Linked DNA regions of Notamacropus eugenii. The protein of the gene in region 2 interacts with the protein of the main gene of each other region in a pairwise test. Links are inferred from orthologs where the notes say so. Each region holds a gene or a part of one and is shown on either strand. Other genes may lie near its edges.

Region 1 (10,337 bases), about 450 Mb from region 2:
GACTGCTTTAAGAGCCTGAGAGGGACTGAAATGATACTTTGAACTGTCTATCTCCCAAATTATTCTCATTTTTTAAACATCAATGATGAGAATACCAGTCAAGAGTAACAGAAACCAACCTTGGTCTGTATCTGGGACTATTTTCCCTGTAGATCACAAGATCTCATTCATTTACTATCTTCCTATTACATATGGTGTAGTGGAAAGTGAATAGTTGACCTTAACTCATGTACTAACCAGCTATATAATGATGGAGAGTCCACTTAACCTCTCTTAGCCTTTTTCTTAATGTGTAGAAGAATGAGGATGATAATGGATCCATGAAAAGGGAGCTGGGTTTAGAACTGGAGGACCTGAATTTAAAATTCTGACTTTGCTACATATTGCCAGTATGACCTTAAACTAATCAGTTAACCTCCATTGGAATAGTTAGGTAGCACAGGGAATAGAGAGCTAGAACCAGAGTCAGGAAGACCTGAGCTCAAGTTTGGCCTCAGACGTTTCCTGCAGTGTGACCCTGGGCAAGTCACTTAATCTTGCCTGCCTCAGTTTCCTTAGCTGTAAAATAGCTGGATAATAGCACCTCCCTTCTAGGGTTGTGGGGAGGATTAAATGAGATTAAATTTGTAAAGATCTTAGCACAGTCCCTGGCACATACTAGACACTTTGTTTTCTTCCTCCACTGTAAAATGAGGGTCATGGCCTAGATAATCTCAAAGGTCTCCTCTAACTTTAAATTTATGATAATATCTGCCTGGCTTATTGTGAGATATGTAAAGAAGTAGCTTGGAGAAAGTAATGCACAAGAGAGTGCTTTGTAAATTGTAAATGGTTATGTAAATGTGAAGTATCATTAGTCTCCTACATTAAAGACCTATTTAGATGAATGCCTTATCATGCTGTGGAAGTGGTCTTAGGTTCTCAGAGGCTATATTTTCAGAGGACAAGCTCTGGTATTGTTTAGATCATTTCAATCATGTCTGACTCTTTGTAATTCCATTTGGGGTTTTCTTGGCCAAGATACTGGAATGGTTTGCCATTTCTTTCTCTGGCTCATTTTACAGATGAGGAAACTGAGGCAAACAGGGTGAAGTGACTTGCCCAGAGTCACACAGCTAGGAAGTGTCTGAGACTGGATTTGACCTCAAGTCTTCCTGACTACAGGCCTGGTGCTCTAGCCACTGTACCACCTAGCTACCCTGGAAGTTCTTATCAATTTGAAAGTATTTTTATTATAGGGCCCAGAAGAAGATTGTATGTCATTCAACAACTTAGCTCTATTTGGAGGGGTTCACCATTAGAGGGGTGATCACTGCACCAAATGATGACTTTGGAGGGGGCGCAACAACTCTTGAAAACATCCACTAAAATAGAAGGGACAATGAATGAGTTGTATTAAGCACAGGATTATGAATGGTACCTGGGATTTCATTAGAATAGGGAACTTCCAGATGGGGAAACTCCCTCTACTATTGTAGGTCAGCATCCTCTCTGCAATTTATAATCTTAGATGGTTATCTAGAGCAGGGAGAGGTTGTGACTTGGCCAGGATGCCATAGCCAGCGTGTGTCAGAGGCCAGACTTGAAACCAGGTCTTCTTTGCTTCAAGACCAGTTTTCTATCCATTAACCCACAACACCTCCTATGATCTACTTTGGTAAAAAGAAATACTAAAATGTGACTGTTATCATAATTTAGTAGAAAGTAAGCTTCTTTAAGAGGGAAGGACTGTTTTCATTTAGTCTTTACATCCCCAGACTAGCACAGTGCCTTGCACTAGTAGATACTTAATAAGAGCTTGTTGGTTTGGATTAGATCTTTGGGACATTCTATTCCATTCAACAATCGCTTATTAAGCATGTACTATGTTCAAAGCATTGTGTTAGGTGTCAGGTCACACAAAGAAAAAAAACAACGAAGTAGTCCCTGGCCTCAAGGAACTTACTCTGCTGGATGGAATTATGTGCACTGATAAGCAAATACAAAATGCATACAATTAAATACTAAATAATTTTGGGAGTAAGGGGAAGAGAGTGTTAACAGCTAGGGGGATAAGAAAGGCCTAATGGTTCCTGAGTTTAGCTTTAAAAGGAGCCAGGGCTTCTAAGAGGTGGAGATGGAGAGGGGGAACATTCTTTGATTAGAGTGGGAAGAGGTCATGGTAACCAGTACCGAACTAAATCCCCTTACTGTTTATTTAGATAGGACTTTATAGTTTCAAAGTGCTTTGTGTGATTGTCTCACTGCAATGAAGCACCTACTACGTGCCAGATACCTGGCTAGGTTCTGGGGGCATAAGTACAAAGAATGAGACAAGAACTCACATTCTAATGGAGGAGACAAGTAGGCAGAGTATACACACACACACACTACATATAATGTGTATAGTGTATGTGCACATAGATAGTATGTATTATATAGCATTATATGACACAATTCTACATATATTATGTGTCATGGAGTATATATACTATGTATACCATAATGCTATATATACTATATAGTATGTATGCTACATAGTATATACAGAATGTACATACTATAGTACATATAGTAGATATTGCATATATGTATGTATGTGTATGTATCTACATCATCGTCTGCATCGACATCTCTCTCTCTCTCTCTCTCTCTCTCTCTCTTTCTCTCTCTCTCTCTCTCTCTCTCTCTCTCTCTCTCTCTCTCTCTCTCTCTCTCTCTCTCTCTCTCTCTTTCTCTCTCTCTCTCTATCCATATCTAGTAGTTAAATACAAGGCTGTTGGGGCAGGGACCAGGGACTATTATCCCTATTTTATAGAAGATGATTCATTGAAGGTTCATTGAATCTAGATAATGGGATTTAGGGATGGCAGGAACTTTTAAGTACACTTCCTTCCTTACACTACAGATGAGGAAAATGAGACCTAGAGAAGTGAATTGATTTATCCAAGTTTACAAAGGCAGAAGTGGTGGAACTTGGATTCAGGCCCAGATGCTTTGGCTCCAAGTCCAAGGCTTTCTCCCAAGACCGCCCTGCTAGTACTTGGCACTGGAATCGAGAACTTCAAGTCTCCTTTTCCTTTGATTTTCCTGCCCTACCTCTCAGTTAACCTAGGAAAACTCATTGTCCCCAGAGGTATAGGGATAACCTGAAAGTATCAATAGACTCAAGAAGGGAGAACTAGGTTAACTGATGAATAATTGATTTATCAAAGGTTATTAAGGGGAAGTTGCAGATGTTTGAGGGGGTCACATGCAGAAACTTTTGAGGTGAAATTCACTAGTAGCAGACATCTCCACCCTCAAACTGTTCTTCAAAAACAGAATCCTAGGCTGAATGGTCCACAGGATTTCCCCAGGGTGGCATTTCTGAAGTCTTTATGATTTCCAAGCTATGGCAGTCCCTTCCATCAAGGAAGAGTTTTACTAACAGAAACATGTTTCTTCACCAATTCTCCAAACTTAGAGGATGTTCCCAGATGACATGTCACTGGAATGACTGTCCACATATCCCCTTGGAAACTGCTGGGACATTAGTGACAGATTAATGTGGGGGTGGCCATATGGCCATGAAGTTCTGCTCATTCAGACCCAGGGGAGTTAAGATGGGAATGTGAATCTTTTGCCTGAGGCACAGGCTTATTATAAACACAGTGGTCACAGATCTCTGTTAACTTGGGTCCTGCTGAGAAGCAGGAGGATGGACTAGATAACTCCTTAGGGCCCCTTGGGATAAGAGATTTTAGAGTCTGCACTCTGCTTTTCACTTCCATAGAATGGTTCCCTGAGATTCAGATGTTACTGCATAAGAAGGGGGCAGAGTAGAGAGTAGGGATGACTTGTAATCCTTCCGGTCCTTTTTTTTTTTAAGGACAGCTACACTAAACTAAAACGATGATAACTTGAACATGTTCACAACTCAGTCCCTTTGGCTCATCACCCAAACCTGTTGGCCTCAGCAGGACCCTAGCCCTGGGGTTGAACTCCAGAGCAGAGAGGAAGTTGCAGCTCTCCAGGAAATGCACTGACTGAGCGGGGGAAAGGACAAACAGGAGAGAGGGAAGCAGGGCACCATTACAAATACTCTCATCTTACCATTCAGACCAGAGAGGAGGATGGGGGAGAGAGGTAGGGAGGGAGGTTAAGGTACAGGAGTGGGAGGGTGAAGGAAAGAGGGAAAGAGAGAGAAAATGGTTAACAAAAGAGACAAAGAAGAGAGATGATGATCAGAAGAGAGGGTGGAAAGAGAGAGAAAGAGAGAAGGAGGAGAGAGAATGAATGGGTAAGGAAATGAAAGATCTGGGAGAGAGAAAGGAGAGGGTGGGGAGAAGGGAGAAAAGAGAGGAAAAGAGAGAAGGAAAGGGAAAAAGACAGGTAATGGAAAGGAAGAAAGATGGGGGAAAAGAGGGAAAGGAGAGAAAAAAGAGAAAAAGGATGAGAGAGGAAAAGGGAGCGAGGAGAGATCAGTGAGGAGATAGAGGGAGAGAGGGAGGAGTAGGGGAGGGGGGAGTTGGGGAGAGATGCAAATTAAAATCACGTCTCAGTCCAAGCAAACATAATGCTGCTGCCAAGTGGGCCCGTGGCTGTCCCAATGTTCTCGAGCGCCAGCTCCAGAGCTTTATCATCTGTTCCAAGAGCGTCCTAGGCAACAAGACTTCCATCAGCCAGGGAGATGCAGCGAGCAAAGGTGTGTTGCTTCTTTTCCTTAGGGTCAAGGTGGAGGGTTCCCTGGGTGAATTACACTGGGAAAGAAGAGATTTCAAAGGCTGTTTGTGCAGACCCTCTCTCTTAGTGCCCCCTGTGGGACTTGGCCCCCTACTTTTGACATCCATCTCTGCCTGGCTAGAGATGAGAGGGAAGTAATACTTCATAATTCTGTAGCATCTTTTGGTTTGGGTCTCTGAGTTGACAGGGGGCTGGAAACATGACTTCTGGGCTTTCAGGGCATTATTCTGGGGCCAGGGTTTGTTGGGGGTTGGGAGAGGGATAAGCTTTCTAATCTCTTTGAGACTCTGGGACTGGGAGAACAGAAGGTTGCAGGCATAATCTGAGGCAAGATATGACAGATTCTTGTGTTCTTCTGAGGGTCCTTGTGAGCTTTGATCATTTCAGGGTCTGGGACTAGGCATATTGGGCTATAAGACTCACATATAAACTGGAGGGTCACTCAGTGCCCTCACAGTTCAGAAAGAGGCAAAACTATGGGAAGACCCCCCCTAGGAGGGCAGTGAAAGTGTCTGGGGAAAGATCTACTGTCTGGCATAGAGGAAGGAGACAAAAGTTTTTTTTCCAGGATCTGGGAAGTACTATTTTGGGGGAGAGTTTGGCCACACACATTTGGCAGCTTGGGAGAACAGTTCAGGTTCTCAGTCCTTGTACCCCTTTTTTCTGCAGGGACTGAAGAACCTCTCTCTGGGGACTTAGTAGAAAGAAGGAAGGAGGGTAATCATTTTCTGCTTTCCCTTTTCCTTCAAGAAAATGGGAATAGAATATTAGAGTTAAAAAAGAGCTTAAAATGATCCCAATTCCTCATTTTATATAGGAGTTAACAGACTCAGAAAGGTTGAGATTTCCCTAAAGTCATACACTAATCAGCGTCAGAGCCAGAACTCGACCTCAAGCCTCTCCAGGGAGCTTTCCATTACAGTCCATTGGTCTTTTTTTGAAGTTCACAAACCACAACCCTTTTAAGATTTAGGCTTTTTATGTCAAGATCAAGGGTTAAAAGTAGAGTCCCCTCATTCCTGAAAAATGTCGGTATGGTTTGGCATAAACAGAGGACTAATGAAAAATCCGAGGGTTTATGAGCACAGGTTGAGGGGTGAAGATGGGGACTCGAACACCTGGAGAAACCGGGCTGAGCCTCTTTCATGGAACCCCAATAGGACCTTCTCAACGTCCCCTCCAAACCTCCAAGACTCACAAAGTTCAGGTCTGAGTGGCAAACAAAAGGCCAGTGAAGACATAGAGCCCTAAGAATTCATCTGGACTAGAAAGACAGAGGAGGAAGAAGGAAAGATGTGGAAGGGATCATAAGACTGGGACCCTGCGCAACGGCCAGGTTAAAAGCAAGAGGTCTGGAGGTGGAGCTCAGGATCTAAAACTGAAATGAACGTAAAAGGCTGAGAGAGAATGAGAGGGTTAAGGCAGAGGCTGGGAGCTGCTGGGGGTCTGGGAGAAAGGGAGAGGAGGAATGAAGAGGGATGTGATAAAAGGGTGGTTGGTGGCCAATAGCCCACTAGGCAGGGAGGGGTTAACCGAGGCTCTGGAGAGGCTGGGCTGGGAACATGGGAGGAGGAACCAGCTCAACCCATTGTTCCCTCAGCTACATCAGACTTCGCTTCGACAGCTCCACCTGCCGTGTTCTACCGACACCTCCTCGGCCTCACCCACCCTGCAGGTAAGACTGGCCCTATCTGGCTGGAAGGGGAGGGGACGGGAGGGAGGGACAGGGGTTGACTTGGGGAGGTGGGGTAATGCCTATTACCGAAAGGGGTTGGGGGAAGGTAGAAGGAGGAGGAAACTTTCACCCTCCCTCTTCTGCTTTCTCTCCGCCTGGAGTTAGGGCTGGGAGGAGCTCAAGGAAAAGGAGGGGTCTCTCTCTGGAGCTCCTTATCAGTCTCCCTCAGAAGGCACCAGGGCTTGGAAGAGGCAGTACTGTAAACTTGGCTGTGACCAGGTGCCACAGAACCGCCATGGTTCTGAGGCGGGGGGGAAGGTTCTGCCTGGGTCCTTGGGGACACCCTAAGCTTACTCTTCGTGTTGGCTCTCTATCTCCTTCCCCCCCCCACTTCCTGACCATCTTTGGGGCTCCCCCCTCCCATCCCCTACTCCCTGCTTTCTTCTTAGACAATGCTTCCCCGGACATCTGCTTTCTGAATGCTGGATGTTGGACTCATCTACCTTCTCCTTTCTCTGGGGGTGAGAGTAAGGGTGACATTTTAGAATTCACCTGGTGCTGTCCCTGTCACCTTTTCAGTTACCTACTCATTCTTGTTCAGTCATTTTCAGTCATGTCTGACTCTGTTATCCCATTTGGGATTTTCTTAGCAAAGATGCCGGAGTGATTTGTCATATCCTTCTCCAACTCATTTTACAGATGAATAAATTGAGGCAAACAAGTTAAGTGACTTACCCAAGGTCACACAACGAGTGTGTGTTTGAGGGCAGATTTAAACTCAGGAAGTTATTGTCTTCCTGACTCCAGATTTGTCTCTTTATCTACTGGCCACCCAGTTTCCCCCTGACCTACTGCCCCTTATTCATCTCAATTCAACAAACATTTATTGAGCCCTTAATGTGTCCAGGGCATGATTCAAGCCCTCATTCCTGTCCTTTAGGAGCTTATGGGCTAGTAATTGTACATAAGTAACTATAATGCCACTTAGAATGTGAAGGTGACTTGAGAGACTTGACAACCAAGTGCTCTGAGATCCCAGATATAAGAGAGATAAAATGAGTCTGGGGAATAAGTGGTTGCAGCTTCATAGGAGAGGTGATATTTGAATCCTTTGCAAAGATCCTACTTTCAATTACCTGCTCTGGGTGAAGGTTGAGGAAAGAAATGGTGATAGTAGTTTTTTGTGGAGCTTTTGACCTGGGACTTAAAGGATGGGCAAAATATCCACAAACAGAACTAGGCAGAGGGAGAGAGGGAATGGTATTGAACAGAGAGGAAAGAGTTCTGACTTCTTTGGTGAACAAGTTCAGTTTGACTAGAGCTCAAGAAGTGTAATGAGAGGGAAGAGCCTTAAAGGGAGATTGAGGCCAGCTTTTCCTACTGAGGAAGCAGTTTTCTGTTTTTTAAGGTAAAATATTATTTTTTTTATATTTAAATTTATTTATCTTTAGTTTACAACATTCAGCTCCACAAGCTTTTGAGTTTTAAATTTTCTCCCTCCCCTTCCCCCCTTCCCAAGATGACATGTACTCTGATATAGGCTCTACATATACATTCATATTAAATATATTTTCACAATAGTCATGTTTTAAAAAAGAATTATAACCAATGGAATGAACCATGAGAAAGAAGAAACAAAACCAAACCAAAAAGAGCGAACAAAGAGTATACTTCAATCTGCATTCAGATTCCTAATTCTTTCTTTGGATGTGAATAGCATTGTCCATCATGAGCCTTTCGGAGTTGTCTTAGAACCTCGCATTGCTGGGAAGAGCCAAATGTATCACAGTGTAACTGTGTACAATGTTCTTCTGGTTCTGCTCCCCTCACTCAGCATCAGTTCATATAAGTCTAGGAAAGCCAGTTTTCAAAGCTTCTGAAGGGGAGGGAAAGTGTCTGATTTGTGGGCTCTGATTGTGTACCTGAACCCTTGCTCTGTGTAACTTCTTGATCTAGGCAAATCTTTAAGGGAAACGAGTATGGAGTAATTACATCTCCTTTATAAATTTAGGACTGGGATACACCTTGTCATAATCCCTTCCCTCACCCATTGATCCATTTTACAAAGAGGAGGATCCTGGGCTTCTGATTCATGGGGTGGAAAGAATGAGGCTAGGAATGAGCACTCCCTTTTGCTTGGAACCAGGCAGAGGTGTGTATATGTCTGGGGTGGAGAGGAGATGATGCAGTGGGTGGGGCATTATGGACAGGTGGGAGCACTGGTTTGGACAAGTACTCTGCTCACCTAGTGACTGAATCTTCTGATGCTACAATCAGCTAGAAGCCTTCAACCCAGCCTCCCAATCATAGATTTTAGGAAGGAGAGGAGGTAGCCAAAAGTTAGATTAAATGTTTATATGTTTCAGGGATTAGAAGCTGCCCAAACACTCTCTGCATTGTAGGAAAGTGGAACATGAAAGAAAGGTGGTATTGGAGTGGTTTTTTTAAATGATGCTCTTTCGTTTTCACATTAGACAAAGGTTTAGGAGCTCTATTTGAAATCAGTCAAGAAGTATTTATTGAAGCACTGCCACATACCAGCCTTGTACTAGGCAACAGTGCAGTAGAAATATTTAACTGGATCTCTGATTTCGTTGATTTGTGGGTGATCACTCCAATGGTACTGTTTACAACTTCAGCCTATGAGGATCTGTCCAGTTCCCTGCAAGCTTTTCTCTAGTTCTTTTATTATTTTTGTGGATTCCAGTTCATTTTGCCTGGAGGCATTATGGGATGTAGATCTGGAAAGGAATTAAGGGATCCCAGCCTCAGTTTACAGAGGAGAAAATTTGGACCTAGAGAGATTTAACATGTGAAGCCTGAGGTCTCACAGGTAGAGCTGGGATCTGGAGAAAGGTATTCAGACTCCAAATACAGTGAAAACACTTCACTCTGCTGCCTCCTACAGAGTGGAAGCTTATGCAATACTTCCTCATAACAGGCTAGGTAATGTAAATATTATCCTGATTTTAATAGACATGGAAACTGAGGCTCAGGGTGGGGTAAAGTAACATAGTGATTCTCCCAAGGTCATACAGTTCACGAGTGGCAAGATCATAACTTAAACCTGTTTTCTGAGGTTCCAAGTTCAAGGTCCCACTCTTCTTTCCCTACCAAATGTTCAAATGAAAATTGCTAAAGGTGTTCAAAGAGAGGGGAGATTTTCCCATCTGGGATTGTAGGAGAAATTTCACAGAAAAGGTGGGTAATTGAATTAGACTTTAAAGGACTGGAAGGATTTGGATTCTGTGAAAAAAAGGGGGAGAGGGTATTCCTAGGTGCTCAGTCAGAGGTGCTGATAACTAGAGTAATTTGGAGTCACTTTTTATGCTTTGTATTTTGTATTCCCAGGGCCTAGTACAGTGCCTTGCACATACTAGGTGCTTAATAAATGCCTTTGGATGAACTTTTCTGAACTTCAGGCAATCTTCAAGTTGGAAGAAATCAGATATTTGTCATCTCAAGAGGCAGATTTCTATACCTTCCCTATTCCTCAGGACATAAAGACCCTCAATGGGAATTCCCTCTACAGAAGATATTCTAGCCCCTCTGTGCCTTAGTAGATAAGAGTTTTGATGAATTTCTTTTAAAAGTCTCATCACTTTCTAGTCACACCTCCTCTCTCTGTGTGTATATAAATAAATCTAGTGTCCAAAGGATACAAACAGTTTTCAAAAGCAGAAACCCAAACTATCAGTAACCATATGGGAAAATGCTCTAAATTACTAATAATATGAGAAATGGAAATTAAAACAACTTTGAGATGTCACCTCCCACCCATCAATTTGGCAAAGATGATGAAAGATGGAAACAGTTAGTGCTAGAAAGGTAGTGGGAAAGCAGGCACAGTAATAGTTTGTTGGCGAAGCTATGAACTGCTGCATCCATTAGGAAAGCAAAATGGAATTGAACATAGAGGAGTTGATCTTTTATGTACCCAGGAAACTCAGAATGTAAT
Region 2 (10,844 bases):
ATAAGACATAGGTATTGGAAACAATCAGATAACAATACAATACAGTATAAAACTAAGTGATAAATTACATTCTAAAGATGATGCTTTAGACAAGACTTTCTTCTATCACAACAGAAGCTATTATCAACAGAAACAGCAATAGACAAGATAAAACAAATACAATAAACTTTTTTAAAAAATCTCCCACATAGACTATTAATTTTTCTCTCTTATTTTTATTACCCCTTTTAAATTCTAGAGAAAGAAATTTGGTTGAAGGCTATAATACACCCAATGCAAATACCAACATTTTGATAGTTGGAGAAACTTTCTATCTTTATTCTTGAAGTAATATATTTCTCCTAGAATTATATCCCATCATAAAGATTTCCCACTTCCCATGTTCCCTCCTCTTCATGGGCTGGTACTCCAATGACAAAAAAGAATGTGTTGTACTATCATCTACTCCACACTGGCCTGGCTATAATTATTTTCTTTATCTTTCCCTTGGCTGTGTCATCCCTGGAAACTTTTTCATTGATTCTCATTTGCTTCTGTAGCAATAGGCACTTGGAGAAATTTATTCTTTTCACTTGTTCTTGTGGGAGGAAAATCCTTGTTCTCTCCCCTTTCCTATCAGGGTCAGGAAGAAAAATTCAATTATGGTTCCAATCACTGGTAATATAGAGCATCTGATTACTGTAGTGGTCAAATGAACCTTTTTTATATATCTTTCTCCCCCACTCCCCCAAAATTCTGACCTATCTTTGCCACCAGCTCAAAAAAGAAAAGGACATTTTAAATGGAGCAAAAGCTTCATAACTTTTTCCAAACCTCAAACATTTCAGCATTCTGAAATAATTTTTGCTTCTAAAATGAGTTACCTCTCTCCTCAACCTACAGCTGTATTAGTTACAACACACCCCATCTGCAGGGCTTTCCATAAGCAAAATATATCTCCTACTTCTTCAAATTTTTCTGACTTTTCCATTTGCTCCCAATATACTTTCATGGCTAGTTTCCTTTATCATTCAGCAAATGATCTAATAACTTCATTCTTACTAAAGTGTTAAGGACTTAAAGAGTGAGAGAGAGAGAGAGAGAGAGAGAGAGAGAGAGAGAGAGAGAGAGAGAGAGAGAGAGAGAGAGAGAGAATGAATTAAATGTGATGGATCATTCCTAATTTTGTTTCAGGTATTAGTAGAAGATATATTTTGGGATTGGAAGCTATCCCTGAAATGGTAGATTTGGGGCTGAGATGTACCTTAGAGGTTTAGATTAATGCCTTCTATGGATCAGGAAACTATGGCCCTGAAATGTTAAGGGACTTGCCAATTTCATATAGATAGAAAGTGGCAAAGCCAGTATTTGAACTTGGAACTTCTGACTCCAAAGCCATTTTCTTCCACCTGCCTCCCCACCTAATTACTTCTTTCCTTCCTCCTCTATTTGTCCAGTTGACCCTGCTCACAGGTTTTTATAGAAAGATGCTGTCTTCACCCACAGTTTGCTCTTAGCCTCTCTCTACTAAGGCCTGTGCAAATGTGATAATTCATAGACCTTTTTATGACTAGGTAAAGGGAGGGCAAAGAAACTTAAAAGTTAAGGTATTAACAATTAAAGATCAACCAGAAATAAAGATCATAAAATTTTAGGTCTAGTGCAATGCCTTAATTTTACAGAAAAGGGAACTGAGGCAAAAAGTGATTTGCCAAAAGTTACCTATCTGTTGGAAGACTTGTGATTTGAACCCAGGTGTCCTATTTCCTGCCTTGTTCTACTTTTAAGGCATTTCTAAAATTATAAGATTAAATAAAGAGAACTTAGAATTTTGACTTGTCAGTTGATAAACATTTATTAAGCTCCTACTATGATAAAAGCAACATATTACTTATTAGGAATATACAAAGAGGCAAAAGACTGACCCTGCCCTCAAGAATCTCACAATCTAATTGAATCTAATGACATTTTTACAGAGCATGCTTATTATATACAATGATGTATGTTCCACTGAAATATATCTCAGGAGTAAAGATAAAGTGAATTTTGGTTCATTGCTTTCAGATCATCCAAGTAATTGGTCCATTCTAGAGCCAACTCCATTACTTTATGAATGAGAAATACCTATTTAAAAGCCTGTTTTTCCCAACTCAAAATCTATGATCTTACATAAAAATAGTTTTTTTTTTTAATGAAACAATATAATGTCTCATACTCAACCTACTTGCCCAAGAGCTTCTAACTCATCACTTGGAGCATGGGTTCCTGTAAAACAAGAGAGAAAAGTCTCTAGATAGGAGTCTACTCACGTCGACTAAAATATGCTCCTTTTCCAAACTCTGGAAGCATGAAGGAGTAATGCTATACTTAGGGTGTGCCACTTCTGTGATTCCTCAGGGTACCACTCCTACCCACACTCCATATAGGGTAACTGTTGGAAATGGAATCGGACAAATTCTTCATGTTTTGTTTTGGTGTTGGTATAAAAGTGTCAGAATATATGGCTGTGATAGAAAGATTTTTCTACTCATTATGAATGCTGCCCAAAGAGATAATATGGGGGTAGAGAAAGAGAAGGCTTTATCCTCAGATACTGAAGAAAAATGAGGAGGATTTGAATGCTGTTCTCCATGTTGAAGGATTATATTAGGTCTGAGACCACCTTATCCAGTTTTCTATGACTTCAGTAATTAACTCCTCTTGAAAGGGATCATAGACAACCTTACCTTGTATCACTAAATTCTACTTTCTAGCAAATTATGCTTTGTTAGGTTCCAGGATTATTGCCAGTTCTATTAATAGTCTACATTGTTATGAGGTGTTTCAACTAAAATGCTGCTATATTTCAAAATTATTTAGTTCATGGTTATACTGTTTAATTAATTTAAGACCGACAGAATGGAAGATCATATAACACTCCTTGACGTTTTTAGTTTCATGATTCTTTTGTTTTTGTCTTAAATTGAAAGTGGTATGTGCACACACTGTTCCTCTGGAATGTCTGTTTGGGGGATATGGTTCTGATTTGAGTTTTTGAGTATTTGGTTCTGATTAAGCATATATTGTTGTTTCAGCTCGAACAGTTGGTGGATGTTTGATGTATGCATAGCTAAGAGTCTGGAGGGTTGATGTTTGAAGAGGGGGAGGTTTAGTTTAAAGGAACTTATCTTGTTTTGACTTTTCATCCTTTGGATGCATCTTACTCCATTTTCACTTTGTATAGATTACCTGGTTGTGGTCTGAGAGATTTATTAAGCATTAAGGCAACCAGTTTTATAAAAAGCAAACAGGGACATACTACCCTTCCAAAATAAATTGTAGAGGCACTTGATAAAATACTAACAAACAAGATGTTATATGTTACTATTTTAACTGTGAGGGAGTTGCTGCAAAGGGTGCATGAAAAACAAACAACACAGAATGATTTCTTCTGACATGAATTGTTTTCCTACTTCTTAAATAGTGATCTCACTTGGGTATTTCATGTGTGACCAATAAAGAAAGCTGCACATTAGGTTTTTGTCCATACAACCAAGTTTCATTCTAATGACAAACCTATTTTAAATTCCCCTTCCAAAAATGTCAGAAACAACAAATGATCTCAGTGGGTAAAATAACTTTACATCTTGCTGATTTTTCATTTTTAAAAGACACACAGGTACTTAAAAAAACTTTAAAATAAATTTTTTTATTGAAAAACCTTAATTTTTATACACTTCTTTGGCTGTTCCACATTCTGCTGGTCACTAGAGATGACCACAAAAAGCTAATTTGCATGGCAAATATTTGTTCCACAGCATTAAGAAAAAATTACATTTTTGTTTAGCAACTTTAACTTGCAAGTTCTAAATATTAGACTTTCTTTCTTAGTTTATTTCTAAAAGAAAAAAACATCTCTGAAAAAATATAATTAGGACATAAAATTGTTCATTTATTATTCAATTTAATATTTCTTAAATAAGTAAAAATAAAATGATAGGCAAACTCTCTAAGTACACAATTTAAAAATTGTACAATTTATTTTAGTTACTCATGCTCAATTCCTCATTTTGAAATAAATGTGAATTTTAGAAATCTTTTAAAGATTTCCAAGTGTTTTATTCTTTGCTGAAAGCTAGGAATCTACAAAAATAATCATCTCTCTTTCATTAGTTAAACAATTTCAAATTAGTACTTTTTAAAGAAATAACAACTAAAGAGGAAAAGGCTGATTTCTCTTTTGTAAAATTTACTAATGAATTTAACTCATTTTCCAAGATGGAAAGAATACAGAAAATCAACATCTGAAAAGATATAACATTTTATTTTCAAGAGCTTTTTGTTTTGCACTTAGGCATTAAATTTTCATCACTTATAAATGTAGGACCACTGTAATAATGACATTTCCTGAATCTTCTAGAATGATACATGATATAATGATATATAAAATAATGATAAAAGAAATATAATTTATTTTAAATAAGTCTTTTTTGGTAGACTGATCTTCCCTATTATTATCAGAGAACACTACTGTTTATGAGATAAATCATTTCTTTTTGACTATAGATATCTGTGATTTTTTTTAGTTTTATGCAATCTACTTTTTAAAATTTATTATTGATATCAATTAGTCTGAATCATGAAACCCAAACAACTTCCAAAGCACAGATTCCATATTAATCAATCCATGAATTTAGAGCTCACCTCTCCTGCCTGAGTTGTTACTAGTTTCAGGTATTTGTCACGAATTCATTCCTTTGCTGACAGCCCTCCTGTTCTGACCAGCCTCTGTGAAATACCCTCTGGTTAGCAGTCAACAAGGCTGTTTAAAATGGTAGATGACAATCGTATGGGTTGGATTTGGTTTCCATGTCATTTAGGTGGCATGTACAAATTAGAAAATTGATTATCTTGAAGGGCATGGAAGGAAAGAGGGATTAGTAGGTTTTGAAAAGGAAGGAGATTTGCCAAGAAGGAACCAGAACAGGCGAAAATCAGTTTATACAGTGGATTCCAAACTCAGATTCAGTGTTCTAAGAACCAGAAGGGGGACAAAGCAAAGCAACCTTTTATCAGTGTGTGCAATCAGATCAAAGAAAACTGGTCAATAAACCTCAGTACTGCCCCATGCTAATACCACAGATTGATACTGGCTGGTAAAAGAGCCCGGTAGAAAGGTAAATCTTCCCGTAAAGAGTTACAGAATCCCAAATAAATACAAAGTAGCCTCCTCCACTATCTCCAGTAAAGATCACAAGCAATGGAAACAGTTGCATCTCTCAACTCATCCCCGCCCCCCCAGCATCCCCGCGCGGTGGTCCCAGAATGCGGGGACAAAGCTGCTTATACAGTAAACACGCCCGAGCTTTAGATTCGTTGCCTTGGGTTCCGAGAGGCATTGGGGGATGGACACGGTCAGCGGCTATTTTGAAAATCTTGCTTTCATCACGGCCACCGCGTTTCCTCTCCCTGAAGGCAATGTTATTGGGGCTGCAAACAATTTCCTGGCGCCTTCCAATGCCCTCTAGCGGCCGACGTGGAAACGACTCCCTTGGGCGTAGGTGGAGGTCTCTGCTGCCTTTCTGGGCTCTTTCCACCCCCTTCTTGTCTCTTGGGCAAGGCGGCAGTTCTTCACATCCTCGGCTCGGAACTCCCCCCTTCGGCGGCCCCCCGCCCCCGTCTGCGCACTCCTCCACCGTTAGGACTCGAAACTCTGGCTTCCTAAAACCATAACATTTCCATCCGTCCCTCAAAAATGTCTTAAAGGAGAGCCAGGGTAAGACTGCGGGGCTTTCCTTCTTTGCCAAGGTGTAGTTCACCACTCACCCCCTCCCTTCACGTTGAGTTCTTAAAGCATGCTGCGAAAAAATGCGGCATGCATTTTTTTTTGCAACAGCTGCAAGAAACAATGAAGCTTTTCAAGAAATGGGGGGTGAATGCGCTTTCCAGTTGTTTTTTTTTTTTTAGAGACCTCTCAATTTTCTACCCTTTCCTCCGTACGGACAAAAATACATACAAATACCAATTCTATACGGATACATAACATATATCTCTTCCATCTCGGTGAGACGCGAAGCTAGGGGCATTGTTTTTGGAAGCAAGTCGGAGGGGAGGGTGTGTGCGTGCGTCTGTATTAGGGTGGGGGCGAGGGGGAGGGGACGGAAGAGAAGGGGTGCGTGTGGAGTCAGCTTTTTGCAGACTACGGGCTCACGCTGCGGCTCCGTTCCGAACGTTCCCGGGAATCCCAGGCTCCTGCTTTTGGCGCGCGCCTGTCTGGGCTGGGGCCCGCCGCGCGCTGCTGCTGCTGCTGCTAGTGTGTGTGTGTGTGTGTGTGTGTGTGTGTGTGTGTGAGTGAGTGTGTGTGCGTGCGTGCCTCCGGGAGCGCGTGCGCGAGCCCCCAGTGTGTGGCAGCAGCAGCAGCGGCGGCGGCAGCAGCAGCAGCGGCAGCAGCAGCAGCAGCAGCAGCAGCAGCGGCAAAGCGAAGCTGAGGCTCTTGTTTACCAGCATTAACTCCGCTGAGCAAAAAAAAAAAAAAAAAAAAAAAAAAAAAAAAGGCAAGCAGAGGAGCGCACCAGGCGAACTAGAGAGAGAGGGAGAGCGAAGCTGCGAGCAAACTGCCCCTTTGCAACAGCAATTTAGTCAAATCCTTGCCAGACCCTCTTATCCCGCTCGTTTCTCTCCCCACCTTTCTCCTTCCACACCCCTTTCCAGAGGAATTACAAACCCTTGCAACACCTCTTCGGCTTTGACCTTCAGCAAACCGGATCCCCCCCCTACGTTCCGGAGAGAGGAAGGTGGGGGGCGGTGTGTGTGTGTTTGTGTGTGTGGGGGGGTGTGCGTGTGTGCAAAAAGGGAATTACAAACGTTTGCTATGGGAAAGCAGTCGCCGCGAGAGGGGATGCAACGCGGAGCCCCAGCCCCGGAGCAGCAGGAGTGCTGAACAGCTTAAGTGTTGCTGCTGGGGCTTTGTGTGTGTCCTGGATTTTTTGGAAGGCGCCTGTAGCAGCAGCAGCAGTGAGAGAGGAGGAGGGAGAGGAGAGGAGGAGGAGGGGGAAGCCTCTTCATTCATTTTTATTCCGCATTTTTACCCATTTTCAGCCTCTCCAGCAACCTGGACTTTGGGGGATATTTAAAACTGCGTCGCATCGTTCCGACGTGGATACTTTGCGGCGTTTGGAAGCCTTTCCCTCTATTTTTGGTTGGGCTTGTTTTTCCTTGCAAGGATTGATTTGGATTTTTTTTTTCCCTTTCTTTGCAGTTTTTTTCCCCTACTGCCTTTCTGTGTGTGTGTTTGAAAATGGAGGTTGAAGATGCAGACTGCCAGTCTCAATGTGCTTCATGTTTGCTACTTCTGTGTCCATTGTATCACTGCAGCCAGCGCTGAGGGGGGTTTGTTACCTTTTCTGTAGCAAACACCACAAATACCTACATATCTAAAGCATCAAAATAGCGTTGTTTGGGGAGTGTGTGTGTCAGCTTCGACAGCCACAGCATCGACAACCCATCGACTCACCACGAGGAAAGAAATCATTTTTTAAAAAATTGCAATTTTCGAAGGATCTGTTTCTCATCTGGATTATTGTTTTTTTTTCTCCCTTGTTTCTGGAAGGGGTGTGGGGGCGGCAGTGTGAGTTTCGGACTCCCCCCTTTCCCCCTTTTTTTTTGGAGAAAGGGGAATTTCGTCCTAAATAAAAGGAATGAAGTCTGGCGCCGGAAGAGGGTCCCCGACCTCACTTTGGGGGCTTCTGTTTCTCTTTTCTACACTTTGCCTTTGGCCAACAAATGGAGAAAGTGAGTATCTCTCTCATCAGTGTTTCTACTGTGAAGTATGTCTTGCACTGCGGTAACTTTTAGTTTAAGGGGCCGCTGTCCTATTTTTCTGTTCAAGAATTTGCATCTTCAAGTCTATTTAGAATTTAGAGTTCAAGGCTGGTCTCTTTTTTAGCTTAATTTGGTTCTGTGTATGTGGGGGGGGGGTCTATGAAGTTGGGGAAGGGAGGAGCAAGTTGAGTGGGGGGGAGACGGTGGCTTGCCCCCACCCCCACCAAGGTTAAGCGCTTTCATCTAAGTGAAATAGCTTTACTTTTTGTTTCTTTCTCCAAAACAAAACCCAGACACTCACTCGACTCAATTTGGTAATTAACATTTGTATCAAGTTTGTCTGCTTAGCTTTGCTAAAAGTTCCCATTCTTGGAAGGTTCGAACTTGTACCCAGGGGATTGTAAACAACAGTCAAAGGCCACTTTTCTTTTCCACAAGTACCTGCTCTCCGGCAAAGACCAAAGCTACCCCCTCCTACCCCCCAGTTGTCTGGCGGGTGGGGGGAACGGACATTTGGAGGAGGCCGGGAGCTTCGTGTTTTTCCAAGCCATTTGATTAAAAAGCAATACTCTCTTCCCGGGAACCACACTGAAGCAGTGTGCCAGCCTGTTTGTTGTGGTTGGTTACATTTCATTTGGGACCGCTTTGCAAGGGGGGAGTTTCCTTTCTTAGGGGACCCTTATGCACTGACAGTTACCCCGGAACCGAAGGTTTCCCCACAGACACACATCCCTCCCTACTTAATCAAGATAAACCCCCTTGGTGAGTTAGGCAGTGCAAATGGGAAAGGGCCACAATCTTCCTCTGTGTATTAAGTGGCAGCAGGCGGGGTGCCTGGAGGCTGGGGGGGGGGGGGGGAGGCGTTGCTGGATGGCCTTGGGGTGGTGGAGGAGTTGGGAAAGAGTCCTGAAATGTAACAAACCTTTTGAATAGTATCAGAAAAAGAGAAGTTAGAACACTTGAACGATCTGCCCTAGAAATACTGTGCTGCAGCTCCAGGACACGTTTCAAAACATCCTTTTTTTTTTTTCTGAGGGGGAAGGAGGAGGAGGGAGTTTGGGAGGTGGGTGGGTTTTCCCCGGATGCGTTGTGAAAACGTGGTCTCCCTCTGTGTTTAATCCCACAAATAGGTGCCCCCCCCATCCTCGGACGATATTTAGACTTCTTTTATTAAAAATATTATATAATCCTCCTTCTGTCTGCCCACCCTCCCTCCCCCCTTAATCCAGCGTTTGCTTTCCCGGAATCTGCCTTTGTTGCCCACAATTGCAGAAAAGCTCTGCTCTTGTTGTCGGCGTCTCTAAGATGGAATTGTTTTTCTGCGTCGTTCCATGCTCCCCTTCCCCCGGCCTCCTCCTCCCTCCCCCGCCCCTGTCGGTGCCCGAGGAAGTGGCGGGGCCCAGCGCAGCGCTGCGGGAAAGACCGATCCACGCCGTGACCTGGGGCCCACGAGCTAGCGCCTTCTGGCGTGGGGTTTCCCCGAGCCCCGCTGCTGGAGCCGGAGCCTTCCCATGCGGGCCTCAGGACCTCTCCACTCTGCCTCCCCTCCCTCTTTTTTTTTTTTCTCTAGGTGGAGGGGTTAGAAAGGTGGAGAGGGAGAATGCGAATGCTGGGTGTGTATATTTGTGGGTGTGTAGATGCACGTTACACACGTGCATGCGAAATCTGTGTCTCAACATTGAGAAGTGCACAGACACCCTGCTTAGTGCTACTTAAAAAGTAGGACAACGTGTGTGAGTGGGTTTAAACCTCAGAGCGCGCCCTCCCTGTGTTTGTTTTGAACCAGTTCTCTTCTCTTCCCCCCCCTCCCCCATTATTATTTGTAGCACTTTCTTGGCACATCGTTAATAAGCAATATATTTCTACAAATGCTATCACTTGTAATCTGATAGACTTTGTTTTGGTCTTGTCTGGGTGGATGGGGGAGAAGGGAATGAGAGTTTCGTTGCACTTCTGGGGAAAATTAGGGGCGGGGATTCCTTTAAAAAAGCAAAAAGCACCCGGTGGCATTATAGTAAATTTGAGATGGCGGATGTTTTTCGGACACGTTGAAAAGTTTAAGCTAAGTAGTAGAAATAGGGATGACAGGTCCAGAGGATCTTGTGTGTAATACTTGAGTGTATACAGCTGGTGCCAGTTAACTCCTTGCACATAGGAACCGAGTTTTGGCTCTTAAACCTTTTACCTAGATCTCTTGAATGGGGGGTGGAAGAGTAGAATCAGGTACGGCGGTAATTAAAAATAAAATATAAGGAGAGTAAACATTCTTAATTGTAAAAAATGAGCATACCTTAATAATAGGAGAAAATCTTTACAGAATTAAAATATTTACTAGACAAATATTTGGAGGTCGTATGATCAAATTGGAACCTGCTGTAACCCTAATTAAAACAAAACAACTTGTTTTCCAAAGTTTCAGATCACCAGATTAGAGAGAGGTTTTCATTCCCTCTGTTGCCCAGAATTTTAGATTTTATTTTGAATATAGAGAAGGTTCTCAGAGTTTAAAGAGTGAATCTGTCACAGAACACACAGGTATTTTAAATTTGAACATGGCATATAATAGAGCTGTATAGTTTCTCCAGTTTTTGATGGCCAGTCTTGGACCTGTATGCTATTATTTCCTGAAAAGTCAGATGTTATTTTTTCTTGTTTAGGTAAAAAATATGACTTTTCTAGGAATGCTTATTTATAAAATGTTTTGTCCTGGGAGATAATGCATAGACAAAAAAAAAGAGTAATATTTCACATATGTTGCTTGTGTTTCAGTGACAAGAAAGTATTATAGGGAAAGATCAAGTATTTCCCAAGGACCCATTAAAAATGGTTGGTAATTTTCAGGTTGACAAATAGGCAAAAGTTGCCTCAAATCCCGATTGTAAAACAGAATTTAAATACCTTCTTTTCCCTACTGCACAGTAAGATTTCGAGACTTAAGGAATAGGTATGAAAATACTTTAAAATCTTTTGAAGAGATGTGTAAATGAATTTAAAGCCAAGTTATCAATCTTCACCATAATAGTAAGGTTAAAAAGTTGTATCAGAGACTAATATTTTAGCTGTTA
Region 3 (10,445 bases), on a different chromosome or scaffold from region 2:
CAACATTTTGTATGAGAGTAGGCACCCAATATATGTTGGCTGGTGTTAGCAGTTGCCTAGGGTGTACAGAACCCTATGCTAGGTCCTGTGAGATATACAAATGAAATCCATGTCTTTTCCTTGTATTTAAGGAACCTGAAATCTAGTTGGAAAGAATTGGAGATATCTTAAGAACCTTTATATTATAGCAAGAACAAATTAAAACGTTCCAATAGGTGGTTAGTAAATTATCTGTTTTCCAAAACACAAAGGTCTTAGAATTTTTGCAAGAGTGCCATTAAAATCCATTAAAAGAATTTCTCTTCTACATCTAGTTAACATGGGATCTGCCCCGACAGTTGCAGTGGCAGGTACAACTTACTATCATAGAATACAATGCTTTACATTTGACAGCACTACTAATAATTAAGAAGGGAGTCCTTAGTCAGAGGTACCAATAGGTCCTAGTTCTGTTTTCTGAAGCCACCTAGACTAAGTCTAATCCTTTTTTCTAAATGGTCCTTCAAATTTATGTGGATATCTGTCATATCCTTCCTCCCTTCAATCCATTATTTACTAGCATATTTAACGCTTTCGACGTCCTTCCCACTCACTGAACCCTCACAGTTCCAGGGGCAAAGGAGCCCTCAATCACCCCCTTTTTTCTTGGGGTTAATGGATATCACCGGCGGGCCTGCCACACTCTCAGTTCCATAACCACCTGGCATTCCTTAGGCAGACATGAAAGAGAGCTGTCAGTTTGAAAGAGGGTGGGGGGATGATGGCGGCAGACCAGCACAGGTAAAGGTAACAAGCCTTCACTATTTCGTCCCCTTCCTTTGCAACTTTATCAAACCGCGAGGATTCCACGCATGCGTTCTAAATATAATTTACCCCGCCTCACTACGAACCTTTCCTGCGCATGCGTCTAACTTCCCAGTTGGCTCTAGCGCATGCGTTTCTAGCTCTTTCTCCCGTCCATCGCTAAGGCTAAGATGGTCCTCGCGCCCGCACCCGCCGTTGCCTACTTTACCTAGCATGGCCACCCCCTTCACGCCCGAACTGACCGGTACTCGAACTCCTCATCGTCGTATTTGTCCGAATAGTAAATTTGTTTATGCGACATGTCTGCTCCTTCCGGGGGACCCCAACCCCGCGCCTCCAACCGCCTAACTACAGCTACGCGCGCGCGCACCACAACTCTACGGGGCCTCGCTTTCAAACCTGCCGCTCCTTCAATTAATTGGCTCATTCTATCGGAGGCGGGAAAAAGAGCCCACCTTTGAGACGCTTATTGGCTTTTATAGTTTTCACTCTATCCCACCTCGGGTTCTTATTGGTCCATAGGGCCAGACAGTATGTTTCGTATACGCCCATGAGACCATACACAAGCTCTTATTGGGTATCATTACTTGAGGGCCCCACCCTGCACTTCTACGGGAGGGGCGGGGCAATGAAATGGAGAAAGGAGGAGACACGTAATGCGTAGGGGTCAAAGGTTAGTCAGGCCGGAAGTGAGTGCAATAAAGTTTCTTCGGGGAGGCTGGGCCTGGGGGGGGGGGAGAAAGTTGGAGCGTCTCCTCTAAGAAGCTGCGGCCGCCAGATCCGGAGTGAGACCGGCCCGCGGCGCGGAGCGGAGACCCCATGCGGCCCTGGTGAGTATGAAATTTTTATCATCTTTATTTAATATTCTTCCCCCCAATCCACTGGAATCCCACTTCCGGCCAACCATACATAAGTCCCGCCTTCTGGGACCCCATCCCCGGAAGTCCAGCCCCCAGTTCAGGGGCTCCCCGAACCCCTCAAAGTTGTCACCGACCTAAATGTTTCCCCCTCCCGCCCCCTATTTTGGAAAACTTTGCCTTCCTCATCCCTCCCCCCCGAAACCACGCCCTCTTTAATCTTAACACTCCCTGAACGCCCCTACCCCGAGAGGGGGCCCTCCAACTATTCTTTACGGCTAGTCCCGGGCTACCCGTACCCCACCCCGAAGTGCCTTCTAGAATTCTGGGGAACTCCGCCCTTCATTAGGTCACGACCCCTCTGTATACCTCATTTCTTTCTCCTCCCTGGCCATTTAATTCAGTAGGGGCCCATTTCCATTTAATTCAGTAAGAATTTATTAAGCTCCCCTGTGTGTCCCACAGAGTGCTTGTCTACGTATGCATAGACAAAAACCTAACAATTCCTACTTTCAAGGAGCTTGCCTCCTAATGAGAGGAGACAACATGCAGGTAGAAAATTAAATATAAATTATGCACAAAGTAATTTCCATAAGAATAATTTCCTTTAGCAACTGGGGGAAATCAGGATAAACTTCCTGGAGATAGTGGCATTTGAGTGGAACTTTAAATGAACCTAGACATTTTATGAATCAGAGGTGGTTGCATTACAAGGATGCAAAAGGTACTGTGTAGAGGTACAGAGATGAAAGATGATATGCTGTGGACTAGAATAGTAAGCAGATTAATTTGGCTATAAGACAGAGTGTGTGAAGTAGAGAAACACTAAGCCTGGAAAAGTAAGCTGGAAAATATTTTGGATGACCTTTCCCTTTATAATTCTCTGAAACCATACCTCCCAAGAGATACTTCTAAGGTGCTCATTAAAATCTGAAGCGATCCTTGTAACCTGAAAGGTCCCTGCTTCAAACCCAGAAACCTGGCTTCCTTTCTCAATCACACTCTGTCCTTCCATCCAGCCTAGGTTTTCTCCTCAGTTCCTGGTGCCTGTGTCCCTGTCCCCCACCCCATATTGTGGTAATAATTTAAATAAATGAGATATATAGCAGTATCCCCTTAAATTCCTTTGAGAGAGGCAGTGCAAATTTTCTCATTTGCATTTTACACATGAGGAAACTGAAACTCTGAGAGTTTAAGTGACATGATCACATTAGTATTATGTATTAGAGGCTGAAATCATCTTAAGTTTGCCAACTGTAAGCCAAAGGCTCTTTCTACTGCCTCATTATTCCTAACCCTGACTCAAATCTGAGGGATTGAAGATTGGCTGTACTTTCCCTCCCCTTTGGGCCTTAATTTTATTCTTGGGTGTGGGATGACCTGAAGTGGGTTGGGCTTGGAGGTAGGGGAGAAGGGATGGGAAATCCCTCACGAGTTCCCAGATCTACTCCCTAAGTTTCCCTTCCCAGGACCGGCTCCACCCCAGAAACAGCTGCATGTCGTACCTGTACCTCAGGAGCTGGGCTGGGCCATGGATTCCCTGGTGTGTGGAATGGGGTTGTGAAATGGGTAACTTCTCCCTACCTACCCTAAAAGAGTAGGGTATTTTGCAATTGGGAGGTGTGGGGGGATGCTTTTTGCTCTCTGGCCCTAGAGACTTTACTCCAACCCCCATTCCTGTTTTCTTGTTTAGGTATTCCCCGTCTTTTCTATGTCTGCCTAACCTTCAGTCCAGGAAACATTCCTGAGGCTTTTGCCATTTCCGGCTGCTCCCTGCCACTGTACTCTCCTCCCCCTGGGCAGAGAAAGCAGATATTCCCCACCCCCACCCCAAACCTCTGAAAGTCATCTAGTTTTTGGTTCTCTGGAACTGAGTTTCTTCTACATTCTTTTCCAAATATTCCGTTATATATGGCTCACTACTCTCTTACTGTGAAAGCTATAAGAAAGTGAGTATCTCTAGACAGTACAAGAGTCTTGGCACAAAGTATGTAGGATATCGGGGTAATTATCTTTTGGGTCTTCTTTTTTTTCTGTGATCTGTGAACTGAGTGAGCCCTGGGGAGTGAGGAAATGGGGATGATAAATTTCTTCTCCCAGTTAGGAGTTGAAACAAACCCTTCTCTCTTCTCTCCCCTCCCCCATTTATGGGATCGTAGATTCCCAGCAGGAGGAGACCTTAGAGACCATCCAAGCCAATCCTCTTCCCTTCCATTCATTTTATAGATGAGGGGTCTGAGGCATGGAGAGGTTGCCTAAAGTTGCAGGTGCCAAGTAGAAGTGGGATTTTAGCCCTGGTATTCTGACTTCAAATCCACCATTCTTTCCACTGCTTCTGTTAGTACAATTTGCCTAGGAGGTGAAAGAAAGCTTTTCCCCCTCTCCCTAGCTAGGAATGTACCTGAGGCTTAATTTTGAATTTAGTTCCTCTAGTCTTTTTTTGCTGTCTGCCTTTGTAGGAATTTCTGCCCTCTCTTCCATTTGGTTTGGCAGGAAGTCAGGAACTTGTGGGTGGAGGAAATGAGTTTTGGACTGTTTCCTGTGTCCAGACTCAAACCCGACTCCCCAAACTCTCCTTTTCTGTATGATTAGAATATGGGGGAAGCGTGAAGGTTGGAGTAGAGCCCTTTTTCAGAGTGGCACTCATCCTCAGAAGGGAGATTTAGGGATAACTGGGAGAGAAGTGGCAGTTGGATTACCATATATATGTATAAGACATTGCCCATGGATGCCAGGGGCTGCCTTTGACCCTCTTTGCTTTTAAATCTGCCTTTACTATCAGTGCCTGGTGGCTATGGGGAGGAGTCTGGAAGCCTAGCTTTGGAATCAGAGAGAGCATAGACCTCTAGGATTAGGATAATTAGGATCCTGTGGTCAGTAATGGATTTTCCTTTCCTGTGATCTTCATGGAATGGGTAAGTGCCCATATACAAAGGGAGAGGAACCCCACGGACAGGAGAATTGTTGGGTAGTGATGTGTCCTAACGTTTGGACTCGGGAGAACAGAGCCTTGCCCACCTTCCAAGTGATGCTCTCTTGGTTGAAACATCATCTTGGGAGGAAACTGACAGCTGAACTCCCCCAGTAATGCCCTAGGTAGTACAGGTGGGGGCTGGACTGTCTTTGTGGCTGGCTCACTTCCCTTATGTCATGTGGAGAGGCTTAAAAGGTGAGACTCATCTCACCTGCCTTCTTTCTTTACAGTCCCAAGCTCTCCAGGATCCCACATGCTTCCTTCAGAGGCCTTGTTGGGCTGGCTCTACCAATGCACTGGTTTGGCCTTGCTCCCTGGCTCTTTCAGTCTCTCTTGGCTCTCTGCTCATCTTGCCCCTTTGCTTAGCAACCCCTTCCTATCTTTCTTTCCTTCCCTGTTTCCCAGACAGCACAGAGAGATTTTCTTTCTACTATATCTCCAGCTGTTATGGCAGTTTTAGCTAATGGCCTTGAGGTTCCCTGGGGATCTTCTCCCCACGGCAAGGTTGCCAGAATTTTTAACTGGGGTGGGAAAGGGAAATAAGTCAGGGATTGCCCCCTTTCCCTGTCTTTCTCTCTTTCCTTCCCCACTGCCCTGGCTTCCTGTCTTCTCCTCCCCCTTCGCAGTCAGGCATTAGACTTTCAGATCTGTTCTCTCTTCTCATCATCCCTTCCCTTTTCCCCATTCCTGATTATGCTTGGTTGGGAAGAGGGGGGGTGGGTGGATATGTGGAAATGGGAGGGCCACAGAGATTCCCTCCCTTAGGATTTGAGGCCTTGGGTGGGGTAGAGGTGGGGGGCTCTGCCCCTTCTGTGCCTGTGAGTCAGCACTGTCCTCCTGATTGGCCTCCACTTACTAACTCTCCTCCCCTGGGGAGGAGCCAAACTGTTCCTGGTCCAGCTCTCTCTTCTACAGCTAGAAAAGAGGCTTCATGCTAGGCGGGGTTGGAGCTAGGGCTTGTCTGGATCTGAGCTGGGGGAGTGGTGGTCTTCTCTGCAAGGGTTCTGTGACTATCTGCCTGTATATAGCAGATCAGACTAAGGGTCTGGGAATGCCCCCAGCCCGGCCCCCTTACCCTGGCTGGGGGGAGGGCCGGGCTGGACAGCAGTTTCCTTTCTCCTCTAGCCATGGATCTCCTGCCCCCCAAGCCCAAGTACAACCCTCTTAGGAATGAATCTCTGTCTTCATTGGAAGAGGGGACTCTGGGATCCTTATCCCCTGGGGAGCTATCCTCACCATCTGCCTCTTCCTTGGGACCCATCTTGCCCCCAGTGCTGGTGGATGATAGTCCTACAACCCTTTGCTCTTTTTTCCCTCGGATGAGCAATTTGAAGCTAGCCAACCCAACTGGGGGGCGGCTCGGTCCCTCTGAAGAGTCAGGACAAGGACCTGAGGATAGGGAAGGAAATGCAGGGGGCACTGGGCCGGACTCAGGCCCTTCACCTCTTCTCCAGGACATGAACAAACTGAGCGGCGGGCGGAGGACTCGGGTGGAAGGGGGCCAGCTGGGGGGTGAGGAGTGGACTCGTCACGGGAGCTTTGTCAACAAGCCAACTCGGGGTTGGTTACATCCCAACGACAAGGTCATGGGACCTGGGGTTTCCTACCTTGTTCGGGTGAGTGAGTATGTCCGTATTCTCAAATATTCCTCCCCTCAATCCCCATGTAGTCTTCTTTTGCCTGAGACCCTTGTAAGTCCCTTGTTTTGCTGGATTTTATGTTTTCTTTATGTGCCAAATTCCCTCTTCAGGTCCCTCCATGTATTACTTCCTACCTGTCCTGTTCCCTGCCCCAAATGCTGCTATTTCCCATTCCTTTCTGTTTCCCCCCTGCTTTTTTTCCCCTAATTCTTGTGCAGACATTCTTATTTCCTGTTCTCTTCCTCCATATCATTCTGGTCTTTTCCCAGCACCTAAAGATTTCTCTTTCCCCATTACTTTACATAGACTGTTTCTCTAACCTCTTCTTCTCTCCCTCTACACTGGGACCAGGGGTGTTCTACATTCAGATACCAAGCATAGTCAGTGGGTAGGCGTTCACATTCTGGAATTAATATAGGAGAAAATCCTGGGGGGTCTTTTGTGTGCATGTGTGTTGAGGGTGGTGCTGATAGTAGTTGGCAGAGGTCAAATGCTCCACTTTTCCCTCCCTCCCCCTCCCTCAGTACATGGGTTGTGTGGAGGTCCTCCAGTCGATGCGGGCCTTGGATTTCAGTACTCGCACCCAGGTTACCAGGTAAGTGGTGTCTGTCTGGGGGCATGGGGGCCAGTCAGTGTTGCTGGGGCTCATAGCAGTTAGTGAGCTCCTGGGGCTCTGTGGTCATGATAGCACAGGAAGAGCATTATTACTGAGGGATGGGGCACTTAAGGGAGCCCAGTGGAAGATCTAGGTTCCCCTCTGCCTTTTCAGCCTTGGAATGGAGGAGGCACGCACTTGAGTCAATGAACTTTGGCTGGGCTTACTGTGTGCCAGCCCATAAGATTACAAAGACCCTGAAGGGTGGGAGCATGGTTTCAGGGAAAATTAGTATTTGGTGACTAGAAGGGTTGAGGTTAAGGGGAAGTGACTGGGTCCATCACTGGGCTCAGAGGCCCTAATCCAATCAACCAGCAGGCAGCTCCTTAGTATCATCAAATATTAAAGGCCCTTAATTCAATCAGCCACTACAAAGAGCTCAGAGTGCCCCTGGAGTCTGTCCCTGGCTTCCCCTCCCTTAGACCTATGTTGGGGCCCAGGGAAATCTTTGCTTCTAAGCAAGTCTTTGTCTTCTCAGAGAAGCCATCAGTCTGGTGTGTGAGGCTGTGCCAGGAGCCAAGGGGGCTGCACGAAGGAGAAAGGTACCTGGGGAGCATTGTTGTGGAGAGTAGTAGATGGGAGGAGAGACGGAGGGGAAGCCAGGAGCAATGGAGGGGAGATGGGTTTCTGGATATAGAAATTGGGGCTTTAGGGGTAGGCCTGTAGCCTTTAACCCCCAAATTTTCTGTGGATCCTTTCTTATTAGCCCTGTAGCCGCCCACTCAGCTCCATACTGGGGAGGAGTAATCTAAAGTTTGCTGGCATGCCTATCACCCTGACTGTTTCTACCAGCAGCCTCAATCTCATGGCTGCAGACTGTAAACAGGTTTGTTGTGCCTGGGGGGGTTGGGGAGAGGGAAACAGTCTAGCCAGTGAAGAGAAGTCAGAGAAACTCAAGGGGAGAAAGTGAGGGAAGAACTGGGTATCTGGGTGGAGATAGTTAGAGGGCCCCTGGTGGAAGGGACCAGGGGATGGGACAGAAAGAAATAAGGGAGTTAGTAGGACAGAGAATACTAAGGAGTGAAGAATGTGAGTCAAAGTGGAATTGCTAACACTACCCCACCACCCCAAATTCTCAGATCATTGCCAATCACCACATGCAGTCAATCTCATTTGCATCCGGTGGGGATCCGGTGAGTTATGGTAAAAAGAGATGGTGGCTGGGGAAAAATGGAGTGACTCTGGATTGAGGTGACCCAGAATGATTGGGTAGAGGTGGGGGGGGAATAAAGAGGTTTTTGTGGGCTGGTGGGGAACATGTAAAGCCATGCTGGCTGATCTTACCCCGACTCGGAACCTGATCCCCTAGGACACTGCTGAGTATGTTGCCTATGTTGCCAAAGATCCTGTCAATCAGAGAGGTAAGTGGGAATCTGGTAGGGTGGGTCAGGGGTTCCTTCTCCAATTACTAGTTCTGTGGTCATTGAGGGCACTTGAAGCTTCCCTTGCCCAGTGGGTGCTATTTCCAGGGAGCCTGGGATGGCTGGGATGGGTCATGCCTGAACATCCCTAGCCCCGCACTTGTTGCTTATAAGGACAATGCCTGCTGTGCCCATAGCCTGCCACATCCTGGAGTGTCCAGAAGGACTAGCACAGGATGTCATCAGCACCATTGGCCAGGCCTTTGAGCTGCGCTTCAAACAATACCTCAGGAACCCACCCAAGCTTGTCACTCCCCATGACAGGTAGGATGAAGGCTAGGGATGTGGGCATTGGGGTGGGAATATTTCCCTAGAGGAAAAAATACTTCAGAAATATAGTAGAAACCCACATTACCACATTCAGTCTAGCAAGCCTTTCTAAAGCTCCCACTCTGTGCAAAGCATGATGCCAGTAAAAATGGATAAAAAGACCAAAAAAAAAAAATCAGTTCATCCCCTTGACTCTGACAGAGCTTCCATTCTGCATGGGAGAGTACAACATTTCAACAAATCAATACAATTAAACAATTAAATTAGACAAAGAGGAGAAAGCTGTAACAACTGGGTGGGGGACAAAGAAGCCAGTGACGCTGAGCTGAGAGGTGGCACAGATGCTGAGCATTGAAGAAAGCCAGTTTTTCTAAGCAGTGGAGATGAGGGGTGTGCTATCCCTCTTGCCTCAGCTCACTTGACAGGTTCTTTCTCAGAGCTAAAAGAATCTTACAGAATGGAGGAAGTTACCCCATGTCCTACCTGCCCTACCTCTTTCTTTCCCATGTTTTCTACTGGCTTTCTGGGAATTCTTTCCTGGGGTCTAATCTCTAGCGCTGCTGCTGTAATGGTAGCTTCTCGTTATCATTTCTTTGGGAAGATGAACTGCTTTGGAATCTAGGCTGTCCCTCTTTCTAGATAAGCCACGTCTTCCACAGACTCTGGGTCCATAACCCCTGGTCAGTTAATAGCTAATATCTGTTATTCTGCTAGTATATAATTCTTTTAAAGTTTGCAAATCCTTTTGCACAAATATCTCATTTGATCCTCACAAAACCCTGTGAGGTAAGCACTATCAAGAAAGAAGTGAAGTGACTTGTCTAGCGTCACGTAGCCAGTAATGAGCTCCACTGAGATCTTCCTGATCCGAGGTCCAGTGCTGTCTACAATGTCACCTAGTATCCTCTAGATAAGACTCAGCAGGAGGTAGTGGATGGAGGGCTGGATTTGGAAACTAACCAGATGAGTGCCCAAGGACAAGTAACTTCATCTGTGAAGTTAGGAGATAGTACTTGGTCTCCTCTCAGGTCCTTTAGAGAGCTAAAGCCTCAGTCCTTATTCTAGCTGCTGCCCTGCTTCAATCTTTTGGGGGAGAAATATCCAATCTCCACTTTTATGAGATCCTCTCTCTGCAGGCCAGTGTGGGCTAGGGCCAGGAAATGAATGAACTTTCCTTTTCTTTCTCTTCTTCGAGGATGGCTGGCTTTGATGGCTCAGCTTGGGATGAGGAGGAAGAGGAACCACCTGACCATCAGTACTACAATGACTTCCCAGGGAAGGAGCCCCCTCTTGGTGGGGTAGTAGACATGAGGCTTCGGGATGGAGCTGCCCCAGGGGTTCCTCGTCCACCCCCACCTAGTACCCAATCCACCAACCACCTAGGAGCCACTTTGGTATGTTGCCTAAGCTGAGCAAGAAAGTCAGTTTGGGACTAGGGGAATAAGATAGGCTACTGTTATCTGCAGTTCTCATGTTGTGTTTGCCACCATAGCCTGTTGGACAGCTAGCCAGTGGCGACCCTGATATTCGAAAACAGCTCCCAACTCCTGGACCAGGTATGAAGAAAGGGAAGGTTAGAACAGCTGGAGAATTGGGGTTGGGGGGGAAAGGGTTAAGGGGATTATAGACTCTGGGGTTCTGGCTGACAAACTCCCATTCCCTTGGTAGGTAGAGAACTCTTTGATGATCCCTCCTACGTCAATGTCCAGAACCTGGAAAAAGTCCGCCAAGGGGCTGGTGGTCCTTCTAACCCTACTACCAATGGCAGTGCCCCACGTGACCTCTTTGACATGAGTGAGTATTACTCTTTCCCCGCCTAGTTTT

What was found.
Region 1: the proteins of IGF1R (region 2) and KCNIP3 interact in binary tests that used the Homo sapiens proteins (3 or more experiments, as listed by UniProt). The two-hybrid records come from large-scale screens. The link is inferred for Notamacropus eugenii from reciprocal best matches to the Homo sapiens genes IGF1R and KCNIP3.
Region 3: the proteins of IGF1R (region 2) and SHC1 interact in a two-hybrid assay, tested with the Homo sapiens proteins (4 studies listed by BioGRID and IntAct). The link is inferred for Notamacropus eugenii from reciprocal best matches to the Homo sapiens genes IGF1R and SHC1.

Annotation. Positions count from the first base shown.
Region 1 is NC_092872.1:606,295,503-606,305,839, forward strand, and holds the start of KCNIP3 (calsenilin), read left to right. Parts: upstream 1-6,058; 5' UTR 6,059-6,172; coding exon 6,173-6,379; intron 6,380-10,337. UniProt on the Homo sapiens protein: Calcium-dependent transcriptional repressor that binds to the DRE element of genes including PDYN and FOS. Affinity for DNA is reduced upon binding to calcium and enhanced by binding to magnesium. Seems to be involved in nociception.
Region 2 is NC_092872.1:155,732,604-155,743,447, forward strand, and holds the start of IGF1R (insulin-like growth factor 1 receptor), read left to right. Parts: upstream 1-5,889; 5' UTR 5,890-6,752; exon of another isoform or gene 6,753-7,216; 5' UTR 7,217-7,655; coding exon 7,656-7,749; intron 7,750-10,844. UniProt on the Homo sapiens protein: Receptor tyrosine kinase which mediates actions of insulin-like growth factor 1 (IGF1). Binds IGF1 with high affinity and IGF2 and insulin (INS) with a lower affinity. The activated IGF1R is involved in cell growth and survival control.
Region 3 is NC_092873.1:379,058,618-379,069,062, reverse strand, and holds the start of SHC1 (SHC-transforming protein 1), read left to right. Parts: upstream 1-5,450; 5' UTR 5,451-5,762; coding exon 5,763-6,251; intron 6,252-6,799; coding exon 6,800-6,870; intron 6,871-7,408; coding exon 7,409-7,472; intron 7,473-7,636; coding exon 7,637-7,756; intron 7,757-8,009; coding exon 8,010-8,063; intron 8,064-8,239; coding exon 8,240-8,291; intron 8,292-8,488; coding exon 8,489-8,615; intron 8,616-9,816; coding exon 9,817-10,015; intron 10,016-10,113; coding exon 10,114-10,177; intron 10,178-10,289; coding exon 10,290-10,415; intron 10,416-10,445. Other genes in the region: CKS1B (cyclin-dependent kinases regulatory subunit 1), read right to left, coding at 1,047-1,231. UniProt on the Homo sapiens protein: Signaling adapter that couples activated growth factor receptors to signaling pathways. Participates in a signaling cascade initiated by activated KIT and KITLG/SCF.